Saccharomyces cerevisiae S288C: one gene and its partners. The protein of the gene in region 3 binds, or shares a complex with, the protein of the main gene of each other region. Each region holds a gene or a part of one and is shown on either strand. Other genes may lie near its edges. A codon is read from its position in the direction of its gene.

Region 1 (6,322 bases), on a different chromosome or scaffold from region 3:
CCACAATTCGAGGTTCCGTCGGAGCCTGTACAGCCTATTGATTGAATGGCCCTTATAGCTTGTTCTTCCGCTTTCAGCGCCAGCATGGGGCCCAATGTAACGTCTCCTATGGGTTTAATATGAGGGTACTTTAGCAGACTTTGGGTTTGTACGTCAACATTTTCTACAAAATCCCGTTCGTCTAGACCAATGCTGGAAATATCTAAACCTTTTAGCAGGGGACGTCTACCAATAGAAACCATCAAGACGTCGCAATGATGTACATATGTTTTCTTTGACACCTTGTTAAGCAAGGTGATGTTCAGCTGACCGGCAGCATCGGCTTCCGCGAGCTGCACTCTAGTGTCTAAAAGAAAAGCTATACCCTGACACTGCAAGAGGGTCTTCGTGGCAGAAGCCAACTCATTGTCCATATTTTGACAGATCTCGCTTTGAGATTCAACGATAGTAACCCGAGAGCCCAAATTATTGAATATGCATGCGATTTCTAGTCCAATTGTACCTCCTCCCATGATAGTAAAACGTGAAGGTATATAATCCAGTGACAATGCCTTATCAGATGAAATTATCTTGTCATTATCTATTGCAACACCAGGACACTGAATAACCGCAGATCCGGTCGCCACAACAATATATTTCGCCTCTACGATGAACGGTTTCATGCCGCGCTGCGCAATCTCAACGTGGTGAGGATCTTTGAAAGCAGCCGTGCCTTTATACACAGTAACATTATTTTTAGATAGCTCACGTTTATACACATTGCCCAACTCTTCTATATTATGTTTGAGTGCACTCTGGGCCGCCTGCATATCGAATTTTGCAGGAAACAGCCGCGTGCCACGTTGCTCGATAAGTTCTTGCTGTTGTAGCAGCCGATAAAGATAAGACTCATATAACAAGGTCTTGGACGGGACTGCCCCGTCTACAAGGTAGGCGCCCCCCAGCGAGGCACGCTGGTCAACACATGCTGTGAGCAGGCCTGCTTGCGAAGCCTGCATCGCTGCAGTAAAGCCACCAGGCCCGCAACCAATTACCAGGACATCGTAAACTGCCGCAAAATCCTCCATCGTGCTTAATATTTCGTCTTCACCTCCCATTACCAAAAATGCTCACCGTTAATTATATCATACTTCTCTTCTCCTCTCGTAAAATCGTGCGCATGTTAAATAGCCGCCGAAACAGCAGATGCATGCCTGCAGGTCTGGGTGTACCCCCTGCCTGAGTGTTCCACCCAGGCCTCGCCGGAGGAAAATGCCACCGCACTCAAGTTCGCACAGAAACTACCGCATAAATTTATTCTAACCCGGAACTGACGTTTATCGTGATATGAACTTTGGGTATCTCCGATTACGAAACGACGCCACCCCTCCTTCCCCAAAGCACCGAGAAAAGATTTTTTTTAAAACTGAACGCTGATTGACTTTACGTATTATTACCACTATGCATTATTGTTGTTTCTGTTGTGGTTGTTGCCAGTTGTAATCATATTCACATTGCGTTTTAGTCATAACCACCTTCCGGTATTCATCATTCGTATTGAATAACAATATTTATACCGCAAAACACTATACGGCAAGGCAACTGATTACACTTTGTTTACCTTATTTTTTTATTATTTATTTTTCTAGAAAGTATTGTTGTGTGGCTCTATCCTTATTACACCATCTCTGCTTTGGCATTTCGCGTTGTTTCCTCTCACGGATTGCAGATTATTGTTCACCAGGTAATAATCACTGACTGGCGGCTATTTTCCTATTACACTCATTATTCTTAAAATTTTCTTTTTCTATCTCTATTTTCTTTCTTTTCGTGTCTTATAATAATAATAATAATAATAATAATAAAAATAGTAATAATAAAAATAGTAATAAATAAAGATGGATTTCTTTAATTTGAATAATAATAATAATAATAATAATACTACTACTACTACTACTACTACCAATAACAATAATACTAATAATAATAATACTAATAATAATAATAATCCTGCTAATAATACCAATAACAACAATAGCACAGGCCATAGTAGTAATACTAATAACAATACTAATAACAACAATACGAATACCGGAGCCAGTGGTGTAGACGATTTTCAGAATTTTTTCGACCCAAAACCTTTTGACCAGAATTTGGATTCCAACAATAACAACAGTAATAGTAATAACAATGATAACAATAACAGTAACACGGTAGCCTCCAGCACGAACTTTACTTCTCCAACAGCAGTCGTTAATAATGCCGCTCCTGCTAATGTTACCGGTGGAAAAGCTGCTAATTTCATTCAGAACCAGTCTCCCCAATTCAATTCTCCATATGACTCAAACAATTCCAACACAAATTTAAACAGCCTGTCTCCTCAGGCTATTTTAGCCAAGAATTCAATCATTGATTCTTCCAATTTACCTCTTCAAGCTCAACAACAGCTATATGGCGGTAACAATAATAATAATAGCACCGGAATTGCGAACGATAATGTAATAACACCCCATTTTATCACCAATGTTCAATCCATCAGTCAAAATTCCTCATCTTCTACTCCGAACACAAACTCTAACTCTACTCCGAATGCAAATCAACAATTTTTGCCATTCAATAACAGTGCTTCCAATAATGGTAATTTGACGTCTAACCAGCTTATTTCTAATTACGCTGCTTCAAATTCAATGGACAGATCATCCTCTGCAAGCAATGAATTTGTTCCGAACACAAGTGACAACAACAACAACAGTAATAACCATAATATGCGTAATAACAGCAATAATAAAACGAGCAATAACAATAATGTCACTGCCGTGCCTGCTGCAACTCCCGCTAATACCAATAATTCAACTTCAAACGCAAATACAGTGTTCTCTGAAAGAGCTGCAATGTTTGCCGCTTTGCAGCAAAAGCAGCAGCAACGTTTTCAGGCTCTACAGCAGCAGCAGCAGCAGCAACAAAATCAACAACAGCAAAATCAACAACCACAACAGCAACAACAGCAACAACAGAATCCCAAATTTTTGCAGAGTCAACGGCAGCAACAACAAAGATCTATTTTACAAAGTCTGAACCCGGCATTACAAGAGAAAATATCTACTGAATTGAATAACAAACAATATGAACTTTTTATGAAATCTTTGATTGAAAACTGTAAAAAAAGAAATATGCCGTTACAATCAATACCAGAAATCGGCAACAGAAAAATAAATCTTTTTTATCTTTATATGTTGGTTCAAAAATTCGGTGGTGCAGATCAAGTAACAAGGACCCAACAGTGGTCTATGGTGGCCCAAAGGCTGCAAATTTCCGATTACCAACAATTAGAATCAATCTATTTTAGAATTTTATTACCTTACGAAAGACACATGATTTCCCAAGAAGGTATAAAGGAAACTCAAGCGAAAAGAATATTCTTGCAACAGTTCTTACAAGAACTATTGAAGAAAGTTCAACAACAGCAGCAGGCCGCTGCATTGGCCAATGCCAACAATAACATTAATAGTGCATCGTCAGCACCAACCCCCGCGGCTCCTGGCGCGTCCGTTCCTGCTACAGCAGCACCAGGAACAGAAGCAGGGATCGTTCCGGTTTCAGCAAACACTCCAAAAAGCTTGAATAGCAATATTAATATCAACGTAAATAATAACAATATTGGCCAACAGCAAGTTAAGAAGCCAAGAAAGCAAAGAGTGAAAAAAAAGACCAAAAAGGAATTGGAACTAGAACGTAAAGAAAGGGAGGATTTTCAGAAACGACAACAAAAACTTTTAGAGGATCAACAAAGGCAACAGAAATTGCTATTAGAGACAAAATTACGTCAACAATATGAAATCGAACTAAAAAAATTGCCTAAAGTCTACAAGAGATCAATTGTTAGGAACTACAAACCCCTAATCAACCGCCTCAAGCATTACAATGGTTACGATATCAATTACATCTCTAAAATAGGAGAGAAAATAGATTCCAACAAGCCAATTTTTCTCTTCGCGCCAGAGTTAGGTGCAATTAATTTACATGCTTTATCAATGTCCCTCCAATCGAAGAATCTTGGAGAAATAAACACCGCCTTGAACACCTTGTTGGTCACAAGCGCTGACTCGAACTTAAAAATATCTCTGGTCAAATACCCTGAATTATTAGACTCCTTGGCAATACTCGGCATGAATTTACTGTCAAATTTGTCACAAAATGTTGTTCCATACCATCGAAACACTTCTGACTATTATTATGAGGATGCTGGATCAAATCAATACTATGTTACCCAACACGATAAAATGGTTGATAAAATTTTTGAAAAGGTAAACAACAACGCTACACTTACACCGAATGATTCTAACGATGAAAAAGTCACTATCCTGGTAGATTCTTTAACAGGTAATCAATTGCCCACCCCTACTCCTACTGAAATGGAGCCTGATCTCGACACTGAATGTTTTATAAGTATGCAGTCGACATCTCCCGCAGTTAAACAGTGGGACTTATTGCCTGAACCAATAAGATTCCTCCCTAACCAATTTCCTTTGAAAATTCACAGAACTCCTTATTTGACTTCTTTGAAAAAAATCAAGGATGAAATTGATGATCCATTTACAAAAATAAATACCAGAGGGGCAGAGGATCCCAAAGTTCTGATTAACGATCAACTGTCTACCATCTCGATGATTTTGAGGAATATTTCATTCTCCGATAACAACTCCAGAATCATGTCGAGAAATTTTTACCTAAAGAGATTTATATCTGATCTACTTTGGTTAGTCTTAATCCATCCAGAAAACTTTACATGCAATAGGAAAATACTAAATTTCAAGAAGGATTTGGTTATTGTTTTATCAAATATTTCTCATTTATTAGAGATCGCTTCGTCCATTGATTGCTTGTTAATTCTTATTCTAGTCATAAGTTTTGGTCAACCAAAACTCAATCCAATGGCGTCTTCGTCATCATTTGGCTCTGAATCTTTGACCTTCAACGAATTCCAGTTGCAATGGGGAAAATATCAAACTTTCGGTGTAGATATTTTGGCCAAATTATTTTCATTGGAAAAACCGAACCTAAATTATTTCAAATCAATCCTTCTGAACAAAAACACAGGTAACAACCTCTATGATCGCAACAGTAACAACAACCACAAGGACAAAAAGTTGTTACGAAGACTTTTGAATTTATACAATGATAACAATAAAAATAATAACAATAGGCACAACTTGCTAAATGATGTGGTTTCGTTTTTATTTTCTGCCATACCGCTGCAGCAAGTGTTATCGCAATCAGCTGATCCAAGTTTGCTGATCGACCAATTTTCTCCGGTAATTTCTCAGAGTCTAACTAGCATCTTAGTCATTGTACAAAAAATATTGCCGTTATCCAATGAAGTATTTGAAATCAGTGAGAATAATTCAGACAGTAACAGTAACAATAACGGCAACAAAGATTCTAGCTTCAATTTCAACAAGAATTTACCATTTGTGTGGTTGAGCTCTGAAGAAAATATTGGATCTGGACTATTGAAGTTAAGTGAGATAATATTGAATATTAACAATTCCACAAGTAAGAATACTTTGTTACAGCAACAAAATTATTCAAAGGTGCTCCTACCGTCAATTAACATATCCTGTGTTCAGTTAATCAAATGTTTGGTTGAAAAAAGTATTTGTTTTGAAAACTGCCTAAACAACGACCCGGAAATATTAAAAAAAATAGCATCGATTCCAAATTTGTTCCCCACGGATTTAGAAATTTTCCAGTTATTCACTAATCCATCAGTTGATATTCAAATAATAAACCAGTATCAATTACTTTACAATTTAAAAAATGATATCCTAACCAATTTGGAATGATGCGATTTTTTTAAACAATATTCTTTTACTGCTTATTTCTTCCTTGCGCACTATTTTCTTTTTATAAACCTATATAAAATGTTGTAACTAATATAATAGACCTTATGGAAACAATACAGTCGGAAGAGCGCCTTTAGTGCCAAAAGCCCAAATGAACGTATAGCTGCCATGAAGTCACATCTTGGGCGGCTCAACTAAACAATGGTTTTAGTAACTTCCCACTGGTCCCGTCGCGGCTACAAAAATTCCTTGAAATTGTATAAAGGAGTTTATGACTCCATTTCAGGCAGTAAATACAATTCATACACACCACACATACATTCAGAGTTAACGTTCGCTATAATAAAACGGTAGAGAGTCAGATGTGGAGTCAGCGTGGGGGGTGGGGTAACACTCCACCTTTGAAAACGGTGTGACTTCGCCCTTTCGATGGGAGGAGGTAAAGCTCAAATAGGACAGAATCATCCAAGAAAATTTCAAGCTGCCCACAAAGTCAAGAT
Region 2 (4,997 bases), on a different chromosome or scaffold from region 3:
TACCAGTAACACAAGTAAAAATGGCCAGCGAAACACCAAGAGTTGACCCCACAGAAATCTCCAACGTCAATGCTCCTGTGTTTAGGATAATAGCGCAAATCAAATCACAACCCACTGAATCTCAGTTGATTTTACAATCGCCAACCATATCATCGAAAAACGGCAGCGAGGTTGAAATGATTACGTTGAACAATATTCGTGTATCTATGAATAAAACATTTGAGATCGACTCGTGGTATGAGTTTGTTTGCAGGAACAATGATGACGGCGAGCTAGGATTTTTGATTCTAGACGCTGTACTATGCAAATTCAAGGAGAACGAAGATTTAAGCTTAAACGGTGTGGTTGCTTTACAGAGACTATGTAAGAAATACCCAGAAATATACTAGCTAAAATCGCTTTTATTCTTACCTTTATGTACTGTTGCCTCTATATGTCTTCCCTTCATATAATAAATTCCATTTCTAAAAAAATTGTAGTTGTGTTTATAGATGTATAGATAGATAAATGAATGTGTACTTGCTGCCTTAACGCCTTCCGCTAAAAACTTTTTGATATTTATTTTATTTTTAACCTTTCCTGACTTCAACCCTTACTGTAATGATGATAGTAGAAGCCGTCTATTTTTCATACTTTTCTCATGTTGATTTTCCTTGCAGACAAAGACAATCTCTTGGATGGTTTGTACCAACCACCATTATCTGAAGGCATAGATGCAGGAGTAGCGTAGTTTACTCCCGATGATATCGTATAAGACCAGCCAGGAGTTATCGTAGTTGCTTGCTCTGGCAATGACCCAAAGGTAGAGTAATATGTCACAGCACTAGTGGCAAATTTCCTTGTCCATGTGGTAGCGGTCACTTTAGTATTTGGCTGCATTTGCATTGGAGCGAAACGCGACGTACCAGTCTGCTTGGTGTACGGAACAGTAAATGAACGACTGTCAATAGTAGTGGCTTGGGCGTTGTTTGTAGTGGTTGTTTGAATAGAAGTCTGGGGAGTAGGTTCAGTTGTGGCACTATATGTATAAGCCGTAACACCGCCCATGGAAGTCAACTGGAATCTTGGTGTATAATGGATAGTGTAACCTTGACCGTCCACCTGGGCAAAAACTTGAATGTAATATTGACCGTTCCCAGTTAAGGTCGAAGCAAACTCAGCTGTGTAAGAGTAAACTTTATCATCTTGTGTTAGCTCACTTGGAGTAATTTTACTGGCAAGTACGGCCACACAGTCAATGTTGTTATTAGGACCAGTACAAAGACTGAACGTGAAAGTTGAAATCTTGCTTAACGAGGGATATGCCCCATTATCCATCCATTCAACGGGAACAGAGACAGTACCACCACTTGGACTGAATGTTGCCTTGGAGCTGGGGGAAACAATATTCACATCTCCCAGCACAAATGAGACTAAAAACACCAAAGCACATATGATGGAATTTCTTTGTAAACGCATTATCTATAATATGTCACAGTTGCTGATTCTCTGAGAAGGAAGTAAAAAGCGAAAGAGTAGATTCCTAGTAATCAAAACAAAGTGTGAACTGCCACTTTTAGCGCTTCTTGGAACTATCAAACTGGAGCAAATCTGGCTTCAAGAATGCTTTGAGACTCCTGTTCTATTCCTGTATTATCCTTGAAGATCTTTTTCGAGGAAAAAAAAAAAGAAATGTAAATAAAACACCTAATCGTCAAAAGTGATATTATATTGAACCGCCGTGGTTACGATGGAATAATGGTCAATACGCAGTTTAGATGGCATCCAACAATTCAGGATGGCCAATGATGTTATTTTAGTTTGAATTGATTACTTTTGAGCTAGTTTAAATTCGATTTAAGAGCCATTAAGTAGGCATCACGAATAACGAGGCCGGACGTTTGGCGTTTAGGCCATTGGCGAAAAGACGAAAACAAACTATATCAGATACGCAAGAGGAATGTGTAAAGGCCATGCAAGGCGCGATATATTGGTACATCGAGGCGCGTTCAGAGACCAATTGTGATACGGTTTGCAAGCATGGAGAATACACTGGGTGAGGGGTCCACGGTAAACGCTTCCGTGGACGTGGACCAACATGGCAATGACAACAATAGTGATAGCAACGCTAATGCAGCTGTGGCAGGGGTTGCCAATACAGATACTGCTGGTGAAGAATCGCAGCAACAAGATGAGTCTCTGAAGGATGAAGCAACTGTTCCGAACACACGCGATGCAGAAAGTGAGGCGATAACGGTAACGGCAAAGCAGCAGCCGACTATGCAAGCGAATAAGCTAGATTCCCAGGAAACACCTTCTACAGAAGAAAGCAGGGCCCAGAACGTCTTTGGCCAAGATAATGAGGATAGTGATAATCTCTTTGGCGAAACCGAGAGTTCTGTTTCGAACAATGAGGCAAACACTCCTAGTATACCTACGAACCCGGTAGACAATGAAAACAATAAGCCTGCTATTAAGGAAGACAGCACAATACAGGATTCAAATGGTGACGTTAAAAACATGGAGGACGTCAAAATACAAAAAGAGGAAGAACCAGAGAATAACACTGTTATTGAAGGTGTCAAAGAAGAAAGTCAGCCAGATGAGAACACAAAGGAAATGGATGAAGTGGAAGAAGATGATGAGGATGACGATCAACCGATGATTAGTCCTGATAATTCCATTTTTGGAGACACAAAGAGTGAGTCTAAACAACTAGGCAACACTTCGTCGGTTGCTAATACTCCATCTGAAATTCCAGATGCGCATAAAGCTGAACAGGAGGATATCATAGAAAAGACGGAAAGTGTAGATAAGAAGGTAGATAGTGGCGAAGAGAGAAACGAACAGGAACGTGAAATCATGAACGATCACTCCAAAAGTGCCAATCCAAAGAAAACCACTATCACCAGAGTAGAACCCGAAACTTTTGAGATACCGCAAGCACATGAAATTGTTATTCCAAGTTATTCTAAATGGTTCAATCTAGAAAAAATTCATTCCATTGAAGTTCAATCGTTACCTGAATTTTTCACCAATAGGATTCCATCAAAGACACCTGAAGTTTACATGAGATACAGAAACTTCATGGTAAATTCTTACAGGCTGAACCCCAACGAATATTTCAGTGTCACTACGGCGAGGAGAAACGTCTCTGGTGATGCTGCTGCATTATTCAGATTGCATAAATTCTTAACAAAATGGGGGCTAATAAACTATCAGGTTGACTCCAAACTATTACCTAAGAACATCGAACCCCCACTAACGTCTCAATATTCCACAAGGCATGATGCCCCCAGAGGACTATTCCCATTCGAAAGTTACAAACCATCTGTACAACTGCCGGATATGGCAAAGCTTAAAAAAATGATGAACACTAGTGATTCGGAGAGTACTTTATATAAATATTTGAAAGAAAGCAAAAGAAAATATGATGAAATAACTCACCCCCCCAGTACCACTGATGATGAAAATGGTGACAAAAATGATAATGGTGGTAAAATGAACAATGAAGTAAGTACGTCAACAAGCATGACTGGTGATGCCAATCTATTGGAAGAAGGCGAAACTTCACGTCCTCTGAAAAAAGTCAAAATTCTAGAACAAATTGATGAAAATTGGTCAAAAGAAGATTTGCAAAAGCTATTAAAGGGAATACAAGAATTCGGCGCTGACTGGTACAAAGTGGCCAAAAACGTTGGCAATAAGTCGCCTGAACAGTGTATCTTACGTTTCCTTCAATTGCCCATTGAAGATAAATTTTTATACGGTGACGGCAATGGCAAGGGTGATAATGACAACGGGTTAGGACCTTTGAAATATGCTCCTCACTTGCCATTTTCGAAGAGCGAAAACCCCGTTTTATCAACAATAGCATTCTTGGTGGGTTTGGTCAATCCGAAGACTGTACAGTCGATGACCCAGAGAGCCATTCAGTCCGCAGAATCAATAAAATCACAAAAAGAGGAAATCTCTGACCAAAAGCCAATTGAACATATTAAAGAAGGTTCAGAAATTGCCATATCATCATTGGGTTATAGGAGTCATATTTTCGCTACCAACGAGGAAAGGCAAATGAATTTTTTGACTAACGAGCTAATAAGACTTCAAATGGAAAAATTGGACGCTAAATTAAATCATTTAAAGAAACTAGAAAAATTTATGGAGCTAGAAAGGAAAACCCTAGAAAGACAACAGGAAAACTTACTAATTCAGAGATTGAACTTCAACCAAAACTCCAGCAAGATTGTAAACGTTTTAAGCAAATGCTTGAATTTAATATCCGACAGCAATATCAATAATAGTTCAGTGGCGGAGAAGGAGGAAATCAGGTCGCAGATAGACCATTTCAAAAGTATGCTATCGAAACCTGAAACTTTAAGTATTGGAAAGAATCCATTTAACAAACCTAATATTGAAACAGGTGAAAACCATAATGGCCAAAGTATATCTAACGAGAATGATGTCAAACCCATTTCTATTGAAGCACCTCAATTTTACAGGTATTGGTCGGCATAACAATGACACATGGAGATCATTTTTGTTTTTGTTGTAATTATTCTTCATTAGTAACACTTTCTATTTTGTTTCGCTCTATATTTTTGCTTATTTTCTTTCTTCTAGGTTCATTTCTTTAATGGTGCGTCACTTGACTTGGCTTCTCTCTGATTTTTATCCCATTTCTCTAGATTCGACTAGACATGTTATGTACATGTAGATATATATCTATAATTGTGTTATTTTCTATTTTTTCTATTTTTTTTATTTAAAAGAGCCTTTATCAAAAGTTATTTTTCTTGTTCTGTGTTGTTCTTAGTTTGATTTTGATTCTGTGTATTGGCCTAAACAAATTAGTATATAGTAGTATATAAATCAAATATTCACTTTAAAAGATTTTAAAATTAAAAAAGCATTTAAGCAGAGATACGTTTTTGGGCAGCAATTCTACCTCTTTGTCTAGAAGTCAATCTGACAACCTTCTTTTCAGCAGCCTTGGCGACAGCTTCTTCCTTTTCGGT
Region 3 (3,941 bases):
CCTGAAATTTTTTTTAAATCATCTTTGTAGCTATTGAGGTCCCACGCTGAGTCATCCAGACCAAAGAGTTTACCTTTCTGCTCTATAGGTTCCACATCTGAGTTGATATTAGACGGCGTATTGGAGTTGGAACTCTCTTCGTCATCCGTCTTACCAAATTTCATAAACTTCATATTCATGACTCTACTAGAGAGTTTGCCAGTGACACCATTGTTAGCACTCATTTGTTGCTTTTCCCTTGGTTCCTTATATGCTTATTGTGTTTAAGTGGCCCTCATCTCTACTACTTTTTCATATTCTGAAATTTCCAGTAGAAAATTTTCAGCGCTTTTCTTAGAAAGAGACAATGGAATCAGACAGCCGCCATTACTTGTAGGCGCTATAAACAAATCAGCATTGTCTGTTCGTCTTTAATTATTATAAATGAATGGTGACCTTTCTTTTCCTATCTAGAGTTTATATACAAAGAAAACTACATAAATCTTCAGTCTATTGTGTATCAATGTAAAGAAGCCTACATTCGTCCATTTGATAATATGACTTCTATATTCTCGCGCAACATAGCTTCATTTTCCTTGTAAAAGTTAGCCCGCCTTACCATATCTTCATTATAGCCCTCATCTCCCGATAAAACTTTCAAAGCATTCGAGGTAGAAGCAATGCATTCATTTAATGCTTTAACTGGGTCCTCACTAATTTTCTTGAAGAAACGGTATCGTTTGTTGCTCTCGTGTAGATTCGAGAGAACGGACGTTATTTCTTTGTCCTGTAAAGCTATCTTGGGTTTGATTTGTTCCAATTCCCTGGCATTTTCATTCAATTCAGCAGCCCCAATTTGACTTTCTCTTTGTGTATTATTGAATTTTAGAGCGTTGACATCAGGTACTTCAATATCAAGAACCAACTCACCATAAGTGGAAGCTTTATCAACGCGTACTGTGTAATCAATTTCAATTGGCTGTAATGGGAGCAGGTGAGTACTATTAATAAGGGACAGTAAATCCGTTAATTTCATTGTATCTGGAGAAGATTCTTTAAGACTGCTGGGTAATAAGGTAATAAGCTGAGTGTCTAATTTTACAATAGAAACTTGACTGGAGGCTGCATCAAGCATCTTACTAGTACTGGTGTTGCTATTGTGATTGTTCCTGTTGCCCATCAAATTTTCGAATGCAGACTCATCATTGGTAAGCAATTCATTTAAATGGATGTATTTATATATGGAAAATATTGCATCATGTGATGTACCGCTCTTCAATCCTATTATTGCGGTTAGTTGTGGAGAGTAGCTCATAAATGGCTCTTCTGGGGATGATTTTCGCAGGATGCTTATAGTGCATTCTACATTTTCAGACCCTACCCTCTTAATATCGAGACCATCGAAGTCTACAGGATTATTCGGGTCATACTGCCATTTCACTGATTCTAGTTTTGGAGTTGTAGAACTCATATCCTTTTTGGCAGTCTCCTCCCCCATCGTGGCATTATTTTGGTCGGTATTAGTCGTAGTAGAGTTGTCACCATTCGGCAGTGAAAATTGTAACGGTAAGTTTAAGTTCAATTTCTTATCACTGGGTCCTTCGGTGGCATTTTCTTCAGGGGCCGCATTAAATTTAGTCGATGGCACATTATCGTTTTCCTTATTTTTGAAGTCTACCACTATCGATTCTATGAATGAGCTAAATTTTTCTCTTGCTGGATCATTAGCTTGCACATTGTCCAATAATCGACCTTCGATTCTCATCGTCCAAGTGGCATTCTCCAGTGCCATAAGGTCAGCCTCATTGTTTGTGTCCATTTGCCAGGGTTGGTTTTCACTAACATTTGAAATGAAGATTCGGAGAAATTTTACATTTGGAAAATTTAAATGAGGATAAAGAAACTCTTGGGATAGCTTTGACCTCTCCCACTGCGCAACCATTCGCTTCATATGTAAGTTTCGCAGATGAATAAAATGATCTAATCTTTTCTCGGAATCCACCAGTTGTTGGAAAGAATACAGCTCAGGAATCAATTCGGCTAAATGGTCAGGGATAACCATATCTGATGGATGAGAATGTGGCACTGTTGGCGTAATTTGAGAAGCATTATTTGCTTTATCTTGGTTCACCGGATCCTTTTTCTTTGCATGAAAGAAATTTTTAGTATCAGGTGTGGCTGCTTTTGAACTCTTTCTAGAACCTTTTCCGTTGCTGGGTTTCATTACTTTGGACATGGTTCAATCCGTTAGATCTCTGTTTGACAGCTTTAGAGTTGTCTTATTTTGTTTTTGGTTTAATACATCCACGTTATTTTGTATTTTTTTTGTTTATTATTGCAAGTTTTTAGTTCATTTGTTCTTTCCGATGAAAAAGCAAACTCAAAGGGCAGTTAAGTTACGTTATACCGTAAGGAATATAAAAGGCTAACTAAATAACGAACGAAACAGGTCGACCAAAGATGCTACATTGCACCCAGGTGTGTCTGAGCGCTCTGACAAAGAGAACCCACAGGGTCAAGGTTCAAGTCCTGAAGGATTTCCCGCGATTTCAATTATATAAAGGACAAGTTGCAAATGTCAAACCATCTTTAATGAGAAACTATTTACATAACTTCAATGGTGCAAAATACATACTCAGCGAAGAACACGACATAAATACGGAACTGTTAAAACAATACCAAACACTTGAGGCAAAGCTAGAGGAAGACCATCAACAGCTCTCTAAACGCCATGAAACGGAAGTTCAAAAGAACATGGAGTTACGTAAAGAATCTGTTTTTGGCCACAAGAAAGAAGAGAAGCCAAAAGAGGAAAAGAAGGGATTATTGGATTCTGGGATTACTATCGAAGAGGTTAAGATCCCCGGTCTTGACATTTGATTGGTAAAGAGTATGTATTCAGATAGCGTACAATCTTGTATATAGGCAACATCGCAATTCAAAACACCACATACCAATTTACATACTTACTATTTAAATGTATGGATACATGGAAAACGTTCGTATACAAAAACTGAAGAGGTTCAGAAAATTATAAGGAGGAAAGAAGAACAAAGTGGTTCTTACTGAAATCTTGTTCTTTGCTTGTTTTTGAGACGTCTTTCTCTTTTCTCTTTCATTTTTTGATCTACCTTTTCTTGTTGACCAGAGGCCTTCAATTGACGTCTTTTGGCTTTTTCCAATTCTAATTTCTTCTCCTTTGCCAATTCCAATTCAGTTTCTTTCATAAACTTTTTGATCTTGTTCAGTTCTTGCTGACGCAAGTTGGTAGTTCTTTTCAAGATGTCGTTGGTAATGAATAAGTTTGGAGACTGTTGGACTAAATCTTGAGTGAACCCATCGTAGATTTCTACGACTAAGGAAATAATTTGGTTTAACAACTTCAATTCATTCTCATTTTGGGGAACAGCGCAACGAATGATAGCCTTTGGTTCAATTGAAGATTCCCATTCTTTATCATCGCGTGGCGGGTTGACAGGCAAATCGGTGAAACTTATATATTTCAAAAGATTACCAGCTTGGGACAAAACCTCATAGGGCTTGGAGTAATGAAACATGAACCCTGATAATTGATTAACATCGGACATGTAGACGAAGTTATTTGGTAGTTTATCGTTTTCACTAGTGTGTGCAATAGACAGGAAATAGTTTTCAGTTCTAGCTTGATTCATGAATTCTTTGTTAACAATAGAAGTGACAAATCTAAATTTGGTCAAAATTTCATGCGCATTCTTGTTAGGATGAGCAGATTCACTAGTAACTAAAATACCATTTGGCCTGATCACGATCTCCATAAATTCTTCCAATTGCTTACTTTTCAAACTTGCAAAAAAAAATCCAAGCAGGTACTCTAGACACATAGAGAAAGGGTTGCTACGGGCTACCAGATGAAGGTTTAGGTTGATGCTCTTGATGGCGGATCTACCGGTAGCAAAAGAAGAGAACCATGTATTTTGGTGTTC

What was found. Proteins that work in one complex are often made in the same cells at the same time.
Region 1: the proteins of SNF12 (region 3) and SWI1 are in contact, whole or in part, in a cryo-EM structure (PDB 7EGM), measured with the Saccharomyces cerevisiae proteins. Residues at the interface, in NP_014420.1 of Saccharomyces cerevisiae: Ser54 (codon at 2,056), Pro56 (codon at 2,050), Ser57 (codon at 2,047), Asp58 (codon at 2,044), Val60 (codon at 2,038), Pro62 (codon at 2,032), His64 (codon at 2,026), Lys83 (codon at 1,969), Arg84 (codon at 1,966), Asp86 (codon at 1,960), His87 (codon at 1,957), His90 (codon at 1,948), Leu91 (codon at 1,945), Leu94 (codon at 1,936), His95 (codon at 1,933), Arg98 (codon at 1,924), Gln102 (codon at 1,912), Arg105 (codon at 1,903), Ser106 (codon at 1,900), His326 (codon at 1,240), Ile329 (codon at 1,231), Phe330 (codon at 1,228), Tyr333 (codon at 1,219), Lys334 (codon at 1,216), His337 (codon at 1,207), Gln375 (codon at 1,093), Val376 (codon at 1,090), Leu403 (codon at 1,009), Leu407 (codon at 997), His495 (codon at 733); in NP_015309.1 of Saccharomyces cerevisiae: Tyr677 (codon at 3,906), Ile679 (codon at 3,912), Ile682 (codon at 3,921), Ser683 (codon at 3,924), Gly686 (codon at 3,933), Ile689 (codon at 3,942), Asp690 (codon at 3,945), Lys693 (codon at 3,954), Tyr770 (codon at 4,185), His771 (codon at 4,188), Arg772 (codon at 4,191), Asn773 (codon at 4,194), Leu885 (codon at 4,530), Leu888 (codon at 4,539), Lys889 (codon at 4,542), Lys892 (codon at 4,551), Asp893 (codon at 4,554), Asp896 (codon at 4,563), Pro898 (codon at 4,569), Phe899 (codon at 4,572), Thr900 (codon at 4,575), Asn903 (codon at 4,584), Arg905 (codon at 4,590), Ala907 (codon at 4,596), Glu908 (codon at 4,599), Asn1026 (codon at 4,953), Gln1031 (codon at 4,968), Trp1032 (codon at 4,971), Gln1120 (codon at 5,235), Leu1123 (codon at 5,244).
Region 2: the proteins of SNF12 (region 3) and SWI3 are in contact, whole or in part, in a cryo-EM structure (PDB 7C4J), measured with the Saccharomyces cerevisiae proteins. Residues at the interface, in NP_014420.1 of Saccharomyces cerevisiae: Leu65 (codon at 2,023), Leu68 (codon at 2,014), Ile69 (codon at 2,011), Glu71 (codon at 2,005), Leu72 (codon at 2,002), Ser74 (codon at 1,996), Phe75 (codon at 1,993), Leu78 (codon at 1,984), Val79 (codon at 1,981), Glu82 (codon at 1,972), Leu85 (codon at 1,963), Asp86 (codon at 1,960), Phe88 (codon at 1,954), Ile89 (codon at 1,951), Arg92 (codon at 1,942), His95 (codon at 1,933), Met96 (codon at 1,930), Met99 (codon at 1,921), Trp103 (codon at 1,909), Gln110 (codon at 1,888), Glu111 (codon at 1,885), Phe112 (codon at 1,882), Tyr114 (codon at 1,876), Pro115 (codon at 1,873), His116 (codon at 1,870), Leu117 (codon at 1,867), Leu320 (codon at 1,258), Glu458 (codon at 844), Ile461 (codon at 835), Gly462 (codon at 832); in NP_012359.1 of Saccharomyces cerevisiae: Ser309 (codon at 2,944), Lys312 (codon at 2,953), Gly421 (codon at 3,280), Pro424 (codon at 3,289), Phe425 (codon at 3,292), Glu426 (codon at 3,295), Tyr428 (codon at 3,301), Ile661 (codon at 4,000), Leu664 (codon at 4,009), Gly665 (codon at 4,012), Ser668 (codon at 4,021), His669 (codon at 4,024), Phe671 (codon at 4,030), Ala672 (codon at 4,033), Glu675 (codon at 4,042), Glu676 (codon at 4,045), Gln678 (codon at 4,051), Met679 (codon at 4,054), Asn680 (codon at 4,057), Leu682 (codon at 4,063), Thr683 (codon at 4,066), Leu686 (codon at 4,075), Ile687 (codon at 4,078), Arg688 (codon at 4,081), Leu689 (codon at 4,084), Gln690 (codon at 4,087), Met691 (codon at 4,090), Glu692 (codon at 4,093), Lys693 (codon at 4,096), Leu694 (codon at 4,099).

What each region holds. Positions count from the first base shown.
Region 1 is NC_001148.4:519,137-525,458, forward strand, and holds SWI1 (Swi1p), read left to right. Parts: upstream 1-1,877; coding exon 1,878-5,822; downstream 5,823-6,322. Other genes in the region: IRC15 (Irc15p), read right to left, coding at 1-1,097. UniProt on the Saccharomyces cerevisiae protein: Involved in transcriptional activation. Component of the SWI/SNF complex, an ATP-dependent chromatin remodeling complex, which is required for the positive and negative regulation of gene expression of a large number of genes.
Region 2 is NC_001142.9:91,553-96,549, reverse strand, and holds SWI3 (Swi3p), read left to right. Parts: upstream 1-2,019; coding exon 2,020-4,497; downstream 4,498-4,997. Other genes in the region: RFA3 (Rfa3p), read left to right, coding at 21-389; KRE9 (Kre9p), read right to left, coding at 628-1,458; 60S ribosomal protein uL22 RPL17B, read right to left, coding at 4,893-4,997. UniProt on the Saccharomyces cerevisiae protein: Involved in transcriptional activation. Component of the SWI/SNF complex, an ATP-dependent chromatin-remodeling complex, which is required for the positive and negative regulation of gene expression of a large number of genes.
Region 3 is NC_001146.8:668,692-672,632, reverse strand, and holds SNF12 (Snf12p), read right to left. Parts: upstream 2,216-3,941; coding exon 515-2,215; downstream 1-514. Other genes in the region: MPP6 (Mpp6p), read right to left, coding at 1-224; mitochondrial 54S ribosomal protein bL9m MRPL50, read left to right, coding at 2,440-2,859; YNR021W (uncharacterized protein), read right to left, coding at 3,042-3,941.